Linked DNA regions of Ovis aries. The protein of the gene in region 3 binds, or shares a complex with, the protein of the main gene of each other region. Links are inferred from orthologs where the notes say so. Each region holds a gene or a part of one and is shown on either strand. Other genes may lie near its edges.

Region 1 (5,302 bases), on a different chromosome or scaffold from region 3:
GGCAGCACACTCTGACCAGGGTGGACAGTCCTCCCTACCTGCCAATGAGGGTCACGCCCCACTGGGACTATAACACACAGACAGGAATTCTATTGGAACAGGCTGGGATGACCTGGCTGAGACGTTGCTAGGATGTGTCCACTCTCCTAAAATGGCAGTGTTTTGTTTTTTTGTTTTTAATGTCAGTCTTTTATTTTATAGCAATCAGAAGAATTATACTGTTTGAAAAATGTTTAAAATATTTATAACCAAAGATAAGGAGACTAATAATAGCTGGCAACTCTTGACTGCTTAACTCTGTGTGTGCCAGGTGTTAGTTCATTTGCTAAACATAGTCACCACGATGTTAATAAGGGTAATATTGCTACTGTGCCCATTCTGCAAACGAGGAAAGTGAGGTATAAGGGAGATGAGACCACTTGCCTCTGTCTCACAACTCCTAAATGGCAGGGATGGGATTCAAACTCAGATCATCTGACTCCAAAATCTGCATTCCTAATACCAAATTATCTAGCATTTTCTAGAATGTCTACCATTTCATCTAAGTTTGTGAGAGTCTAATCAGCTTGGCTGCTGGGCACCCACTGCCCAAATGGACAAAGATAATCACGTTCCTGGGGACTGGGTTTGACCAGGGGTGGAGCTCAGATAAGCAAAAAACTCTGAGAGACACTGTCTCCCTGGCCTGTTCTCCTGGAGGGGAGGGAGCCAGTCTGCGCCTGGGTTTAGTTAGTTCTCTGAGCTGGTGGTTTGGGTAGGAAAATGTCCCCCATCCAAAACCTCCATATTTAGTGTCCAAGTGGGAGGGGGCAGGCAGAGCCAGGAAGTTGGGAGTAGAGGACTGAGAAAACAAGTCTTTGCTAATTTTAAATTTGAGTCTCAGTTCAGTCTAGACTAGATCCTTCTCTGTCTCTTTTTTTTAATGTCCCCTCCCTCCTGCTCCCACCCCAATTATCATTCTTCTCAACTTATTCCTTTAACAGCAGAGCCTCAGTCGACCCACCTATAAAATAAGACATTTCCTACATGTTCAGGTCATAGCCCTTGAGGAACCAGGAGTTTTCTGTTTGTTGGGAGGTGTGAGTACGTGTGTGTTGGGAGTGTGGAGCAGGTAGGGAAAACAGCAGAGGATGGAGGGCTGGAAAGGACTGTCCCAGGTTTTCATCACAAGTTCCACCTTGGGGAACACGGCTCCCGCAGCCAGCTCACCTATCCCTAGTCTTCTGGCCCACTCTCTCCCTCTCCAAAGGCTCTTAAGACCAGAGTGGTGTTTCTGCATTAAAATAATAAGAGGGGTCTGTGTGCCCAGCCCCAAAAGGGACTGAAGGAAGGTCACCCCAACACAAATCTCCACAGAGGCATCTTACGGTAAAACTCCCGCCATCCCAGAAAGGCTGTGGAGGGTCCAGCCTCCACAGGTGCCATACCTGGGTAATCCAGAGTGGCAAGGCACGGAAGGTCCTGCCTCTGTGCGAAGGCCTTCTGACTCAAACAGCCCCTGTGTCCACGTCAGCAAGCAGTTCTAGTCTGGGCTGTTGGCTGGGAGGTGACAAGAGCCTCGTTTTTTAGTGGTATTTGCCGGTTAAGTAGGAGTGTACCTGAAATAGTACTCCCCCTCCACCCCCCGCACCCCGGACCCTTCTGGTGAGGCTCACAGACCTCTGTCCCTGGCCTTCCCGGAGAGGCGCACAGAACATAACACCGGGATAACAGCCAGAATCGCGGGCCTCTGTCCAGGTCTGGTGTCCCGGCTGAGTCTCCGCGCGCGCAAGCCCTGCCTGCAGTCGCGCCGCAGCACAGCAAGAACAGACCCGCGCCCGCAATTCCGGACCGTGGGACCGGAGCAGACTCGAGCCCATGTCGTGAACAGAGCAAAAGCTTTGCTCTACCCACAAAGATCCTAATGGCATCTCTGGGTGTGCCACCCGAGTAAAGCTCAGGGGCTCAGCCTCGACAATCTTCGGAATATTTCGGGCGCCCAGGATACTCTGATGTCACTCTTCATCCAAAGCTCCCAGGGTAAGATCCCTCTAGTTTAATCCCTCTAATTTAGTCCCTTCCGTTTTGCAGTTAGAAAAACTGAGGTTCCAGAGAGGAAGTGACAAGCCCTGTAGAGGCAGCACTAGGTCTGGGGTCTCTGGGTCTCCAAGGCCCTTTCTCTCCAGCCTATCCACACACCCACGCCCGCGATTCTCAAAGCAAGACCCTCATTCACCTCGCACCGAATCTGCTGAGCACGATCTCAGCTCCTCCTACACTAGGGGTGAGAGCATTCCCTCTCTGCGTACCTTGGCCTCCTCATCTGTAAATACGTGTGATAATAAGTACTGCGAGAAAGCAGAATTTACTATAATGTGATCAGTCATTCCAGGTCTGCCAAGTTCCGTCTGTCTAACCGTTAAGCCCCCGTTACTGCATTAACCTCGCAATAGTGCACCTTACAAGCATTTTGGGGACTCCACTCACAACGTTTTGGAGGGCGTTTAATGTAATCTACACCGTAGGGTCATAGTGAAATTTAACAGATAAAACTTAACAGTACCGAGCACGGTGCCACGACTAGTACATGCAACAAATGGCCTATTCTCGTTTTGTGGTTTTTGTTAATGATCATCTTAGATCACCGTCTCCGTCACATTCCGCCTGCCAGCCCTTCCCGGACACCGGCCCGGCGCGCACAGCGCGGCGCTCACCTGGTCAGCGCCGGGTAACCGCTGCGGGAGGACACGGAAGAAGATGCAGAGGGGCAGCGCGGTCATCGTCGAGTAGCCCCAGATCAGCGCGAGCAGCGCGGCCCGCGCCCGCCGCCCTGGGCCCCGCGCGCCACGCTGCACGCGCACGATGCACACCACGCGCTCCAAGCTGACTGCCGCCAGCGTGAAGATGGTGACGCTGCCGCTCAGGGTCATCATGTAAAAGAGCAGGTGGCAGGCCACCGGGCCCAGGAGCCAGGCCTCCGTCCAGCGCACAACCAGCACGAGCGGGATGGAGCTGGTGAAGAGCAGGTCCGCGCAGAAAAGATTGAGCACCAGGCTGGCGGTGGTGCCGCGGCGCCGTTGGCGCGCTACCAGCACCAAAGCGCACACGTTGCCCAGCAGCGACACCACAAAAATGAGTGCCAGCACCACGGTCTCCACGGCGTTCAGCACTAGCCGGTGGTCGCCCTTGACATCGGAGAAGAACGGGAAACGGGTGCGGTTGGCCCGCTCCAGGCTGCGCACGGGCGCAGTGCCCGCCGCCTGCGCGCACTCAGGGGACATACCGGGCACCCCGCGGCCCGCAGCCTTCTGCGAGCGGGCTCATCTGGGAGGTGACTGAATGCCAAGGCGGGGAAAGAGGGAGGGAGAGGGTTGCGACATCTCTCCTCTGGCCCCCTCCCGCCTGAGCAGCGCCGGAGCTGGGCGTTGCAAGCTAAGCCTGGGGCGCGCGGGAACGAGGAAGTGCCAGCGACGCCGGCTGGAAATACCAGGCTGTGAGCGAGGCGGCAGTCTAGGTAGAGAACGCCCTCGGCCGATAGGAGCACCTGAACCCCCGGAAACCCCGCAAAGCCTCCCCAGCCCCTTTCATCCGCCAGGGGCACCCGGAGGACAACCTTAATCCACTGATATTGTTAAAATTGATTAAGGAGTGCTTGAGCTGGACTGGAGATCATTCTGTCCTGTGCTTTTCAGGCTTCACCAGAGAAGTCTCAGGGGTCTGGGAATAAATCCCAAAGCAGCTTGTAATGGGTCCAGATCTTTTTGTGGGGGCGGGGAGGAGTCATTTATCACTGCTAAGTAACATGTGACTGGGTAGATTAGTTCATCTCTCTGCCCTAGTTTTTAAAAATCTATAAATGGAGATAATAATATCCCATTGGGTAATTGTGAGTATCATAGAAAGAGATTTATACTTGGCACACAGTAATTGCTCCTGAAATGTTCAGTTCAGTTCTGTTCAGTCCAGTCACTCAGTCATATGGGACTCTTTGTGACCCCATGAATCGCAGCGCGCCAGGCCTCCCTGTCCATCACCAACTCTCGGAGTTCACTCGAACTCTTGTCCATCAAGTCGGTGATGCCATCCAGCCATCTCATCCTCTGTCATCCCCTTCTCCTCCTGCCCCCAATCCCTCCCAGCATCAGAGTCTTTTCCAGTGAGTCAACTCTTCACATGAGGTGGCCAAAGTATTGGAGTTTCAGCTTTAGCATCATTCCTTCCAAAGAAGACCCAGGACAGATCTCCTTTAGAATGGACTGGTTGGATCTCCCTGCAGTCCAAGGGACTCTCAAGAGTCTTCTCCAACACCACAGTTAAAAAGCATCAATTCTTCAGCACTCAGCTGTCTTCACAGTCCAACTTTCACATCCATACATGACCACTGGAAAAACCATAGCCTTGACTAGATGGACCTTTGTTGGCAAAGTAATGTCTCTGCTTTTGAATATGCTATCTAGGTTGGTCATAACTTTCCTTCCAAGGAGTAAGCGTCTTTTAGTTGCCATAATTAAAATCCAGGTAAATTCTGCATTCTGAACAAAGATATAAAATGCTTTCATGTAAAAAGAATGGGGCCCCAAAATATATTGAATAAACTTGGCACCCAGGAAAGACAGTCACTGCACGTGCACACACAGGTGGCGAATGTGCCTCTGGCACCCCAATTCGACAAACACTGAACAAACCAGTCCCCTTACAGATGAGGAAACTGACTTGTCCAGGGACTTCCCTGGAGGTCTAGTTGTTAAGACTCTGAGCTCCTAAAATAGGGGGCACAGGTTCAATCCCTGGTTGGGGAACTAAGATCCTACAGGCCATATGGTGCAGCCTCCAAAAAAAAAAAAGTGACTTGTCCAGAGTGGAGTCTGGTTAGTAACAAAGCCCCTGACCCAGACGTTTCTGTCACACCCCTGTTGTCTAGTTTTCTGTTACAGTAAATTAGAGAATGAAAGTGTGCCTGTGGCCCTAGACCCAGTGACCACTTCCCTGCCAGACACCATCCCACCACCCCCACCCTCCCCGTTCCCCTTTGCCATACTGCCAGGCCCGTCCGTCTTGTAATCATCTGTGTATTTATTAAGCATTTGCTGCACTAGCATAAGGTGCTCTCTAGTGGGGAGGAGGGGGAGAGGGCGGTCATGTCTGTGTTTGCTTATCACTGTGGCATTTGGGGTCTGAGTTGACAATGTGACCTCTGAACTGAAGGGCAGATTGCATGTCAGTGGGAGATTTTCAACTTGAACCTGGACTAAATTCAGGTAGTAAAAGGGAAGCAGTTTGCTTTCTGACACAGACCAAAAAGGGCAAGAGATTGAAGTAAAGG
Region 2 (5,475 bases), on a different chromosome or scaffold from region 3:
CCTCTGCGGGAAGCACGGATTCCATCCCTGGTTTGAAAACTAGGATTTTGTGTACCGCATGGCACAGCCAAAAAACAAAAACAAAAAAATACCTGTAAGACAGGAAATAGACTGATAGACTAGGAGGAAATATTTGCAAAACGTATATCCGATACAACATGTATCCAGAATTTACGAAGAACTCATACAACTCAATAATAAGAAAACAATGGACCCAAGCAAACAATAGGCAAAACATGTGAACCGATATTCCACCAAGAACATTTATGAATGGCTAATAAAGTATGAAAAGATGCTCAACATCTTTAGTCATTCAGTTCAGTTCAGTCATTCATTTGTGTCCAACTCTGCGACCCCATGAATCGAAGCACACCAGGCCTCCCTGTCCATCACCAATTCCTGGAGTTCACTCAAACTCACGTCCATCGAATCAGTGATGCCATCCAGCCATCTCATCCTCTGTCATCCCCTTCTCCTCCTGCCCCCAGTCCCTCCCAGCATCAGAGTCTTTTCCAATGAGTCAACTCTTCGCATGAGGTGGCCAAAGTACTGGAGTTTCAGCTTTAGCATCATTCCTTCCAAAGAACACCCAGGACCAATCTCCTTTAGAATGGAGTGGTTGGATCTCCTTGCAGTCCAAGGGACTCTCAAGAGTGTTCTCCAACACCACAGTCCAAAAGCATCAATTCTTCAGTGCTCAGCTTTCTTCACAGTCCAACTCTCACGTCCATACATGACCACTGGAGAAACCATAGCCTTGATTAGATGGACCTTTGTTGGCAAAGTAATGTCTCTGCTTTTGAATATGCTATCTAGGTTGGTCATAACTTTCTTTCCAAGGAGTAAGCGTCTTTTAATTTCATGGCTGCAATCACCATCTGCAGTGATTTTGGAGCCCCCAAAAATAAAGTCTGTCACTGTTTCCATTGTTTCCCCATCGATTTCCCATGAAGTGATGGGACCAGATGCCATGATCTTCGTTTTCTGAATGCTGAGCTTTAAGCCAACTTTTTCACTCTTTAGTCATTAAGTAAATGCAAATTGCAAATTAAAAACCACAATGAGATACCAATTCATACCCATACCCAACCAAGGTCACAGCTCCCATCCTTCTTAGAACTGGTCATACAGTCAATTAGGAGTTAATCCTGTACTCTTCTTTTCCCACCCAGACACTTGATCCCTAGATGTCCTCATGGCATAGATTATTTTTAACATTTAATAATTTATTGACAACTATTGAGATAAATGTTTTAAAACTAGGGTGAGAATACACACTCATGACTTTCAGTTCCATGTTTGACCCTTTTGGAGGTTGAAAGATTCCTTGGAAGGTCATTTCCAATGTGTAATACTGTGCAGTAAGCCAGGAGAAGGTCATCCACCCCTTTTGCGTTTTTCCACTGACTGAGAACTTGTTTTCTTCCATGCATTCATAAAGAGAGGGTGCCCTTGGTCAGAGTCAGTCAATATTTGAGCAGCCTGAGATCAAGAGCTGGACAACAGATGTTGAGAACAGAAGAGCATCTGGAAAAAGACCAAAATCAACACTAAGGCCTAATCTCTAACCACTCACATCGAGAGGAGCTACCTAGTGTGAAGCGGCTGCTGGGTTCTCCCGTCAGTCGTTGGATGCTTTCCCACGCTCGTTCTGAATTTAACCCAGAGGTGATTTATCCAGAGTAGCCCTTTGTTTTCCCCCAGGTGTTGACTGGGGTGGGAGACGGGGAGCAGAGTCCATTTGTTACCTAATCCCAGAGATAATCAGATCTTTGCGGTGAGTTTTCTAGCAAATGTCATCCAGTTGCTTCTTATTGACCTAGTTGTAAGGTAAGACCTTGCCACTCATGGCCTGATCACAAGATAACTGATTTTCCTGAAGCGCCATCTATTTCTGATCTTACCACCTGGTTCTTGCGCCTGACAAGTGTTTTAAGTATCAGAGCATGAATTTACTTTCTTTCCTCTTAAATCTCATCTTGTTGGTTTGAGTTCAGTGACCCAATGTGTCAAGATCTATTTTACTCTTCATCTTTGCATTGATTTCCTAATTTGTATTCTCACCCTCAAAATTGGCAGACAGGAAATGCCACGTGGAACATGAAATCTGTAAACTATTATAAAATAATCCCTATGAGAGAACTAAAAATCTGACGGGCGTTGTTGAGCTGCATTCACTTCCTCTGCCTCGAGGAAGCCGAAGGTCAATGCTGTGGAGATGGAAGTGGCACAGAGTAAGTTCACTGGGCACCGTGGCGTAGGAGTGGCGGGTACAGGGTAGAGGGAGAGGTGAATCCTGGCATGTGCTCACATGTGTGTACGTGGGTGTGCAAAGGGCAAGAAGCTGAGGCTTCTGTGAGACTCGGTGAGAAGGACGGAAGGAAGGAGGCCTAGGGGAGCAGCACTAGCGCGCTTGGATGAAGACGAGGAACAGTGAGCGCAAGCCTCTTGGAGGGTCTCGTCACGATCTCCACAGTGTTCATCTTGCTGTCTGTCTGCTCGGTTTCTCTGTTTCGACGTGTGCTGTTACTTGGAAATGCAGCTGTGCTTTTTCAGTTCCTGTGCAGTGAGAGGGTGGGGGAGCCTCGGCAACTCCAAGGCCCCTTTGCAGACAGATCAGCTCAGGGAGAAGGGGAAACAGGTGATATGGGCCAAACCCAAAGCAGTGGAGGGAGGAAGGGAGGGCGGCTTGGAGGCAAGCTCACACCCTTTGGCAGAGCCGTCCCTGTGGCACACAGGTGGGGTGTTTTCTCCTCCAAAGGGGAGGCAGCGGGATGGAATAGGAAGCAGGGGTCTCTGCACTCCTGACTGCAGGCTGCTGACAGTCACAGTGCTGAGCGGTACCTCCAACACGCGAGTCTTTATTCGTTGTCACGTCTGCGCTCTACTTCACTGGCATATTAGGTTAGAATAACACCCAAAGAAGACCAAAGTATGATATAAAAATAAATATAAAGACCAGTTCTGTTTTCTCCCCACCTCCCAGTGGAAGGCCTTATACCCCCTTGCCCACGTCTACCCCTCCAGGCATCTGCCTTTTTTTATATGGGGAATTATGCGGCATGTGATTTACATATCAGCACAGCTGTTAGGTGAAAGAAAGGCAGAACATCAGCTGGCAGGAGATGAGGCCATCTGGGAAGGCTTTAGAGCTCTAAGATGAGGCACAAGGAAGAATTTGTCAGCTTGTGTGTGGGGTGCAGTGAAGGCTGTGCCAGGGCAGCTGATGCAAAGACCTGGAAGTGAGAGGGGGCTTTCCTTGATTCAGGAACTGAGAGTAGCCCACAGAGACAGGCACAGGATGGGGCACGGCGAGCGAGGAGGGGCCAGACCCCCAGAAGCCTTGTGAGTCAACCGAAGCTTAGCGAAAGAGTGTTAAACCTGAGAGTGACGTGCCCAGGTTTGCATCTTAGAACCATCATCCTGGCTGCAGAAAGTGTGGAAAAAGGATAAGACGGGGACTGTCTTATCAGGAGGAGGTTGTCCTCAAGGGATGAAATGGTGGGGACCCAGCACGGGGAGGGGCACTGAGGACAGAGCCAAGTGGGCAGGGTGTGAGGGCAGGCTCCCAGGTGTCTGTCTCGAGCAGTCCACTCAAGGGCATTGCCACTTGCTGAAATTGTGAGACCAACCTGGGCAGGGAGCCTGCTAATGAACTGAGTTCTGGGGTTACCACGTGTGGCTACAAGACGCTCGGTGGGTACCTGGAGGCAGTGGTGCCAGAGATCACCTAAATGCAGGCGTTTAATAACTAAAAGATTTCAAGCAAAAATCCAGCGTTCTGGCTTCTCTGTGAAACCTGGCACAGGGAAATCTGGCCGCTCTGGGTTTGTATACACTCTTGTGCACAGATCAGCAAACTACAGTCTGAACTGGCACCACACCCAGCCCTGGGCCTGTGTAACCCTAGACCTAAGGTTTCTTTGTTTTACATTTTTAGAAAGTTGTTCAGCTCAGTTCAGGTGCTCAGTCATGTCCGACTCTTTGCAACCCCATGGACTGCAGCACGCCAGGCTTCCCTGTCCATCACCAACTCCCGGACCTTGCTCAAACTCGTGTCCATCCAGTCGGTGATGCCATCCACCCATCTCATCCTCTGTCGTTCCATTCTCCTCTCGTCTTCAATCTTTCCCAGCATCAGGGTCTTTTCCAAGGAGTCAGTTCTTTGTATCAGGTGGCCAAAGTATTGGAGTTTCAGCTTCAGCATCAGTCCTTCCAATGAATATTCAGGACTGAAGAATATATGGCAGAGATCGTGGCCAACAAAGTCTATAGTATTTCCTCTCTGGCCCTTTTTAAAAAAAAATGTTTTTTGCCGACCCTGCTCCTGGCAGGTGTCTGCTGGAGCTGAGTTGCTGCTGCCACCTTTCCACGGGTGCAAGGCCCCTGGTTGCCTCACTCCCCAGGCTCTGCTCCTGCCCAGCCCGACTCACTTGTGTGCAGTTTCTCCTTGGCTCCCCGCCAGGTCTTGGGGTCCTGAGAAGGTATGACCAGAGGAAAGAGCAAGAAACCAGGGTAAGGACAACCTTTAAGAGACAAGCAAAGAAAAGGCTGAAAGGAACAGAGAGGTAGGAGGGAAGCTAACATAGGGATGCTTTCCAGGTCAGAAAATAGAGCTTTTCAAGAAATATGTGTGGTCAGGTTCTCTGGTGCCGCTGAGCAGCCTGGCAGGGGAAGCCTTTAGAATCCCCAGTAGGTTTAACAAGTGACAGCGAGGTGATGAGCTTTAGTGGAGTGGGGAGTGCAGATGCCAGATGTGAGTGGTTGAGGAGAGCTGGCTTCCAGGTTAGCTATGGAAGGAGGGGGAGACTGGGCAGCCACTGGCGGGACTTTATCAAGACTTGATCAAATGGGAAAGGCTTGAGGTACAGAGAGGGAGAGATGGAAGATGGGGGCAAAGCTGACGGAGTCATGTCTGCAGAGGGAGTCAGGATTTGCCTTGGCCAAGCGTCCCTTGGGAACAGGGCCCAGGGACGTGAAAGTGCAGTGGAGAGGGAGGTTTTCTAGCAGGAAGTTAGTGCTTTGTCCTATTGGCTTCTGTTTTCTTGCTGAAAAAGTGGTGGGTCACCTGCTGATCAGAATTCTAGAGTGAGAGGGTCTGAGCTACACATGGCACAGAATAGGGAAACTTGACAGTGTTGCTGGGCAGCTCAGGAGCCTGTGAGTCACAGAGGTGTGACCATCTTCCCCTCCCTGCTCTCAGGGACCCTGTAGGTGTCAACTGGTGGCCCCAGGCACAGGACTGGGCAGATGCAGGCGTGTCAGTCCACGCACTCCAGCCAGGGCTTCCAGCCGCACAGGAAGAGTTCTATTTACAATTTAAAAAACAGATGAAAAGAAAAGCAGAAGGAGCCCTTTCATAAAACTTTGCTTTAAAACCAATACAGTTCAACATGAATTACGATTTAGCATCTGCAGAGTATCTCATCGTTTTAATGAGCAGTCACATTGAATTCCGCTCACGTGAACTACACA
Region 3 (4,850 bases):
CTTTTTGTACAGTTCTTCTGTGTGTTCTTGCCACCTCCTCTTAATATCTTCTGCTTCTCTTAGGTCCCTACCATTTCTGTCCTTTATTGAGCTCATCTTTGCATGAAATGTTCCCTTGGTATCTCTAATTTTCTTGAAGAGATCTCTAGTGTTTCCCATTCTATTGTTTTCCTCTATTTCTTTGCATTGATGGCTGAGGAAGGCTTTCTTATCTCTCCTTGCTATCAAGAACCTGGCTTACCTGACAGTGGGTGTTGGTTTGCAGTGCAGGACAGCAGGCTTAGGTAGATATTAATTTTGCAGTATTGAGGCAGAATTTTTTTCTTCTATGAAACTTCAGCTTTTGCCCTTAAGGCCTTTCAACTCAATAGATGAGGTCTGCCCACATTATCAAGGATAAACTCCTTTAGTGAAAATCAACTGATTGTAGATACTAAGCATAACAATAAAATACCTTCACAGCAGCACCCAAATTAGTGCTTGATTAAGTAACTGCATATGCTAGGCTAGCCAAATTGATACATAAACCAACCATCAACAGAGGGAAAATGTGGGAGAGGGAGGGTTCTGTTGTTATTTTACATGGAGTGGTATATGACATATGATCAGAGAAGTTAGCTAAAATATATTATTTTTTTTGTAATGTAGTCTTCAAATTGTGTTCCTTGGCAGTTTAACAGATGGGTAATCATTTTAATTTTTTTTTGTTTGATCTTCATTACCAGCTGTCCTTTTTGCATCTTACCCATTTTAATTTAGTGTGTGGTAGAATCATTTTGTTATATAGCATACTTAAACTTAATGAACAATTTACCAGGTAGACTAATAGAATACCACTTAAATGATGATAAAACTAACTAGTATTGTTACTTTTATATTGAGTACAAATCTGATGCACTTGGATTTGGTTTATAGGCCAATCCTACTCTACTGGGAAAATTCGTTTTGCCTGAGAATTAAATAGGGACTATTTTAATTAGTGCAGTATCTAGATAAATGGAGTCTTTTAAAATGTACCAGTTTGCATAGTGTTTCTATTATGTAAGCGGCTATTTCTAGATTACATAACAATTTATGTGAATTTCAACTTTTGCTTAACTTATACTCTTAGAGGAGAAAGCAGAAAACATCATTATCTTTATATTGTTTGTGTTACTGCCTTGTATAGCAACTTAGAATAGAATGGTCTCCTACTGCATATCATTTAAAAACTCCTAGTATTCACACTATTCAGTAGGCCACCCATTTATCTCATCTCTTTTTTTCTGTACCTTGGTTTTATTTTTTGATTTAGGCAGCCTGTTTGCCCCTATTTAAATACGACACCTTTCTTACCTCTAATGGTTTCTCCTTTACATTTAAGTCCTGCTATATTGCTTCAGAGAAAAAACATTTTGTAGTTGGACAAGGGGACCATGTTCTCTGCCTCTAATGTTCTGTGAGTCTGGTGAATTGAATATATTCTATTATCTCTGCATTCTCTAGATGTTTCCTGTGACTTCTCTGTTTAAAACACACAAATGAAGGGGCTGAACTATGTGTAATGTTCTTGTTCTAATGTGGTCTCATGTTAATGAATTTAGGTGTGTGGTTTTTTTTTTTTAAGGTATTTTGGGATTTTTTGTGTTTTATTGTGAGAGACCTTCCCTTCTAGTAGACTTTTTCTCCCTTAAAGTCCTTTTCTCCTTACCTTCCATCCCACATTCTCCATGCGATTTAGAGCTTTTTTGTTGTTTTTTTCATAGAATTCCTTGGTGTGTCTGAGCATTCAGGGTGATGTCAAACTCATTTCTCCTCTTACAGAATGTTTGATGTGGGAGGACAGAGATCTGAGCGGAAGAAATGGATTCATTGCTTTGAAGGAGTGACCGCCATCATCTTCTGTGTGGCGCTGAGTGACTACGACCTGGTTCTAGCTGAAGATGAAGAAATGGCAAGTAGAACCTCTTTTAAAGATTGAACATGGAATAGGAAGAGTTGGAGTTGTTGCCAAGAATTTTTCTAAGAAAACGTCTTGAGAAATTCTTGCTAATGCCTGAATAATGTGAAAGTTCAGGCACTTTTCTCTAACTTTTCTATTTAGTACATTTCCCTCTTAGTATGCAAAGAAGCATACTTTTTATGATGGATCCTCATAAAAAGGAGAAGGCAAAGAGTTCAACTCTCGATGCTTAACTAGGCATTTCTGAGATCTGGTATCTACATACTGAATAAAAATAAAGTTAGCGCCATTATAGTCCAAGGCTTATATTTCTTTCTTCTTCCAGCTTAGTAATCCCTGGGCTGTATTATACTATATTATACTTCGCGGCTGTCATGTAATTGGCACATGTGTTTCAATGTACCATTAATCTGGGGGAAATATTTTTAAATATAAGAGCTATAAATGTTTCTTTTTTTTTTTTTTAAGATAAGGTATATACAGTTACCGTTCAGTAGGTGTAACATACAGCATTCATTTCTGTCCTTCTGGTGCACTATAATATATCAGTGCCCTTTTTGAAACCACAAATACCAGAAGGGCAGGAAACAAGAATTGGAGGTTTCCTTCCTTCATACACTATTATATAGGGTATTGGTCTAATTGTATTCAGCTTTTTCAGTTTATTAATCTTTAAAAACCTCTACTTACCTTTTAATGGAAACTTCAGTTCACTCTGTAATGATGAGGTCTCCTCCGAGATGTCTGCACTTGCCATTTCTAGATCACAAGCTCCTGCAGTACAGTGACACACCGCGGGCACTCAGCGAGTGCTGGATGGATGCAAAAGCGTGATGAGAGATGCAGATATTCGTCTCGCCTAAAATCGTCACGTGTGCTTGTTCTTAAATGGTAGAAGTGCATTTTTGTGATAGGTTATCTATTTTTCGGCTGACTAAGCTCTATTGTACTGCCACACTTTTTTTACCAGACACTCATTATTTTTTAAAAGTAATATTTCTCAGAATCTTTGCCCTTATGACACAGGCTGTTTTCTATTACAGAACCGAATGCATGAAAGCATGAAGTTATTCGACAGCATATGTAACAACAAATGGTTTACAGATACATCTATTATACTTTTTCTGAACAAGAAGGATCTCTTTGAAGAAAAAATCAAGAAGAGCCCTCTCACTATATGCTATCCAGAATATGCAGGTATTTTACTTTCTCTGTCAACTCGTAGATTTCTAAGTGAAAGTTCCCCTAAGCCAAGATTTCAGTTGTTGATTTGAATCTCTTGGCTTCGTAGTTCTTAACCTCTAAGCAAAATTATTTAGCAAACTGCATTCAAGGCCAGCTTGCTTGGGCTAGCTCCTTGAGGTGTGGAGGATTAAAAATAACATTCGTTTTATGGAAAAGCTGTTAGATAATTTTCTATGGTGACCCTGAGTCTTTGCAAACGTAAGATACTGATTTGTTCATGCAGTTAACAGATCTTAGGTATTGTGTGATGCACAATAAATAAGGCGTGTCTCTGTTCACTGGCTAATCTCTAAGACAGAGATACTCCTAAGGAAACAGATAATACAACAACAGTGCGGCATGTGGCTACAGAGGAAAATGAGCAGTAATTGTAAGGGGGGAAAGATGAGAAAGGAGTCTGAGGTAGCTAACTGCTCAGGGGAGTGGGGGAAGGGTTCACAAGAAATCCAGCCTTTGGTAATGAGACCTTAAAGCTACTTCAATTTTACTGCTGTGGAAAATGGTCTGCTTTGAGAAGAGGAAAGCTGAGTTGCAGTCCTGGCTTCCCCATAATTTGCTCTTTGATCTTGAATGAGGCAGTTAATTTCCCTGTCTCAGTACTCCATCTGTGAAATCAAAAGTTAGGCAAGAACACTGCTTTAGTTCTTTGGAACACTTCCCTGGCTTCTACTGGAAGTGGGCACAAGGAACACAGATATTCCACCCCTCGCTCCCCAGGTCCCCTCCACAAAGAGTCGAACGTGATAGAAAAAAACAACCCTTGCTCCATCCTATTTTAAGAATTTTTTTCTTATAAACAAAATTTTAGTTTTGTATTGAGTAAATGATACAAATATTTACTGCCTTTCCATGGGCAGTGTTAAAACAACTGTGTGCTATGGATGCCTTTATATCCCACTAACACAGGTGAGAGCACTGGGAGGAATGAAGCAAGAGAGTCCCAAACCAGATCCAAGTCTGCTGCACCTGCTGCGTCCAGAACATGAACAGTCAGAATACATTTAATTACATTCTCACTGGAGGCAAAGCAGAGGGTTCTTCAGTCAGTGTGACCCTACTGCCCTTTACTACAGCCCTCTTTGTAAATCACAGAGGTATCAGTTCAGTTCAGTCGCTTAGTCACGTCCGACTCTGCACCCATGGACTGCAGCATGCCAAGCCTCCCTGTCCATCACCAACTCCTGGATTTTACTCAAACTCATGTCCATTGAGTCGGTGAAGGCATCCAACCACCATTAGGGTCTTTTCAAATGAGTCAGTTCTTTGCATCAGGTGGCCAAAGTATGGGAGCTTCAGCTTCAACATCAGTCCTTCCAGTGCATATTCAGGACTGATTTCCTTTAGGATGGACTTAGTTGGATCTTCTTGTAGTCCAGGGGACTCTCAAGAGTCTTCTCCGACACCACAGTTCAAAAGCATCAATTCTTCGGCACTCAGCTTTCTTTAGAGTCCAACTTTCACATCCATACACGAGTACTGGAAAAACCACAGCCTTGACTAGATGGACCTTTGTTGGCAAAGTAATGTCTCTGCTTTTTAATATGCTGTGTAGGTTGGTCATAGCTTTTCTTCCAGTGAGTAAGTGTCTTTTAATTTCATGGTTGCAGTCACCATCTGCAGTGATTTTGGAGCCAAAAAAAAATAAAGTCAGCCACTGTTTCCC

Evidence for each region. Proteins that work in one complex are often made in the same cells at the same time.
Region 1: the proteins of GNAI1 (region 3) and FFAR4 are in contact, whole or in part, in a cryo-EM structure (PDB 8ID3), measured with the Homo sapiens proteins. The link is inferred for Ovis aries from reciprocal best matches to the Homo sapiens genes GNAI1 and FFAR4. Residues at the interface, in NP_002060.4 of Homo sapiens: Ala31, Arg32, Val34, Leu194, Gln304, Glu308, Lys314, Asp315, Glu318, Ile319, Tyr320, Thr321, His322, Phe334, Asp337, Ala338, Thr340, Asp341, Ile343, Ile344, Lys345, Asn347, Leu348, Asp350, Cys351, Gly352, Leu353, Phe354; in NP_001182684.1 of Homo sapiens: Arg71, Ala73, Thr74, Arg136, Cys139, Ile140, Leu143, Gln144, Arg145, Gly146, Ile230, Ile233, Thr234, Ser237, Arg238, Arg240, Leu241, Ser244, Leu245, Ala246, Tyr247, Ser248, His251, Arg254, Gln258, Arg261, Leu262, Leu266, Leu269, Met323.
Region 2: the proteins of GNAI1 (region 3) and XCR1 are in contact, whole or in part, in a cryo-EM structure (PDB 9AST), measured with the Homo sapiens proteins. The link is inferred for Ovis aries from reciprocal best matches to the Homo sapiens genes GNAI1 and XCR1. Residues at the interface, in NP_002060.4 of Homo sapiens: Glu28, Ala31, Arg32, Leu194, Asp315, Phe336, Thr340, Asp341, Ile343, Ile344, Lys345, Asn347, Leu348, Lys349, Asp350, Cys351, Gly352, Leu353, Phe354; in NP_001019815.1 of Homo sapiens: Glu63, Thr66, Arg127, Ser130, Val131, Pro134, Leu135, Leu138, Val140, Arg146, Tyr205, Leu212, Ser215, Ser217, Lys218, Arg219, Arg222, Thr223, Leu226, Ile227, Val290, Gly291, Val292, Lys293, Phe294.

The regions. Positions count from the first base shown.
Region 1 is NC_056075.1:14,652,185-14,657,486, reverse strand, and holds the start of FFAR4 (free fatty acid receptor 4), read right to left. Parts: upstream 3,306-5,302; 5' UTR 3,261-3,305; coding exon 2,694-3,260; intron 1-2,693.
Region 2 is NC_056072.1:53,239,883-53,245,357, forward strand, and holds the start of XCR1 (chemokine XC receptor 1), read left to right. Parts: upstream 1-2,170; 5' UTR 2,171-5,475. UniProt on the Homo sapiens protein: Receptor for chemokines SCYC1 and SCYC2. Subsequently transduces a signal by increasing the intracellular calcium ions level. Receptor for XCL1/Lymphotactin.
Region 3 is NC_056057.1:42,451,142-42,455,991, reverse strand, and holds part of GNAI1 (guanine nucleotide-binding protein G(i) subunit alpha-1), read left to right. Parts: intron 1-1,803; coding exon 1,804-1,933; intron 1,934-2,985; coding exon 2,986-3,139; intron 3,140-4,850. UniProt on the Homo sapiens protein: Guanine nucleotide-binding proteins (G proteins) function as transducers downstream of G protein-coupled receptors (GPCRs) in numerous signaling cascades.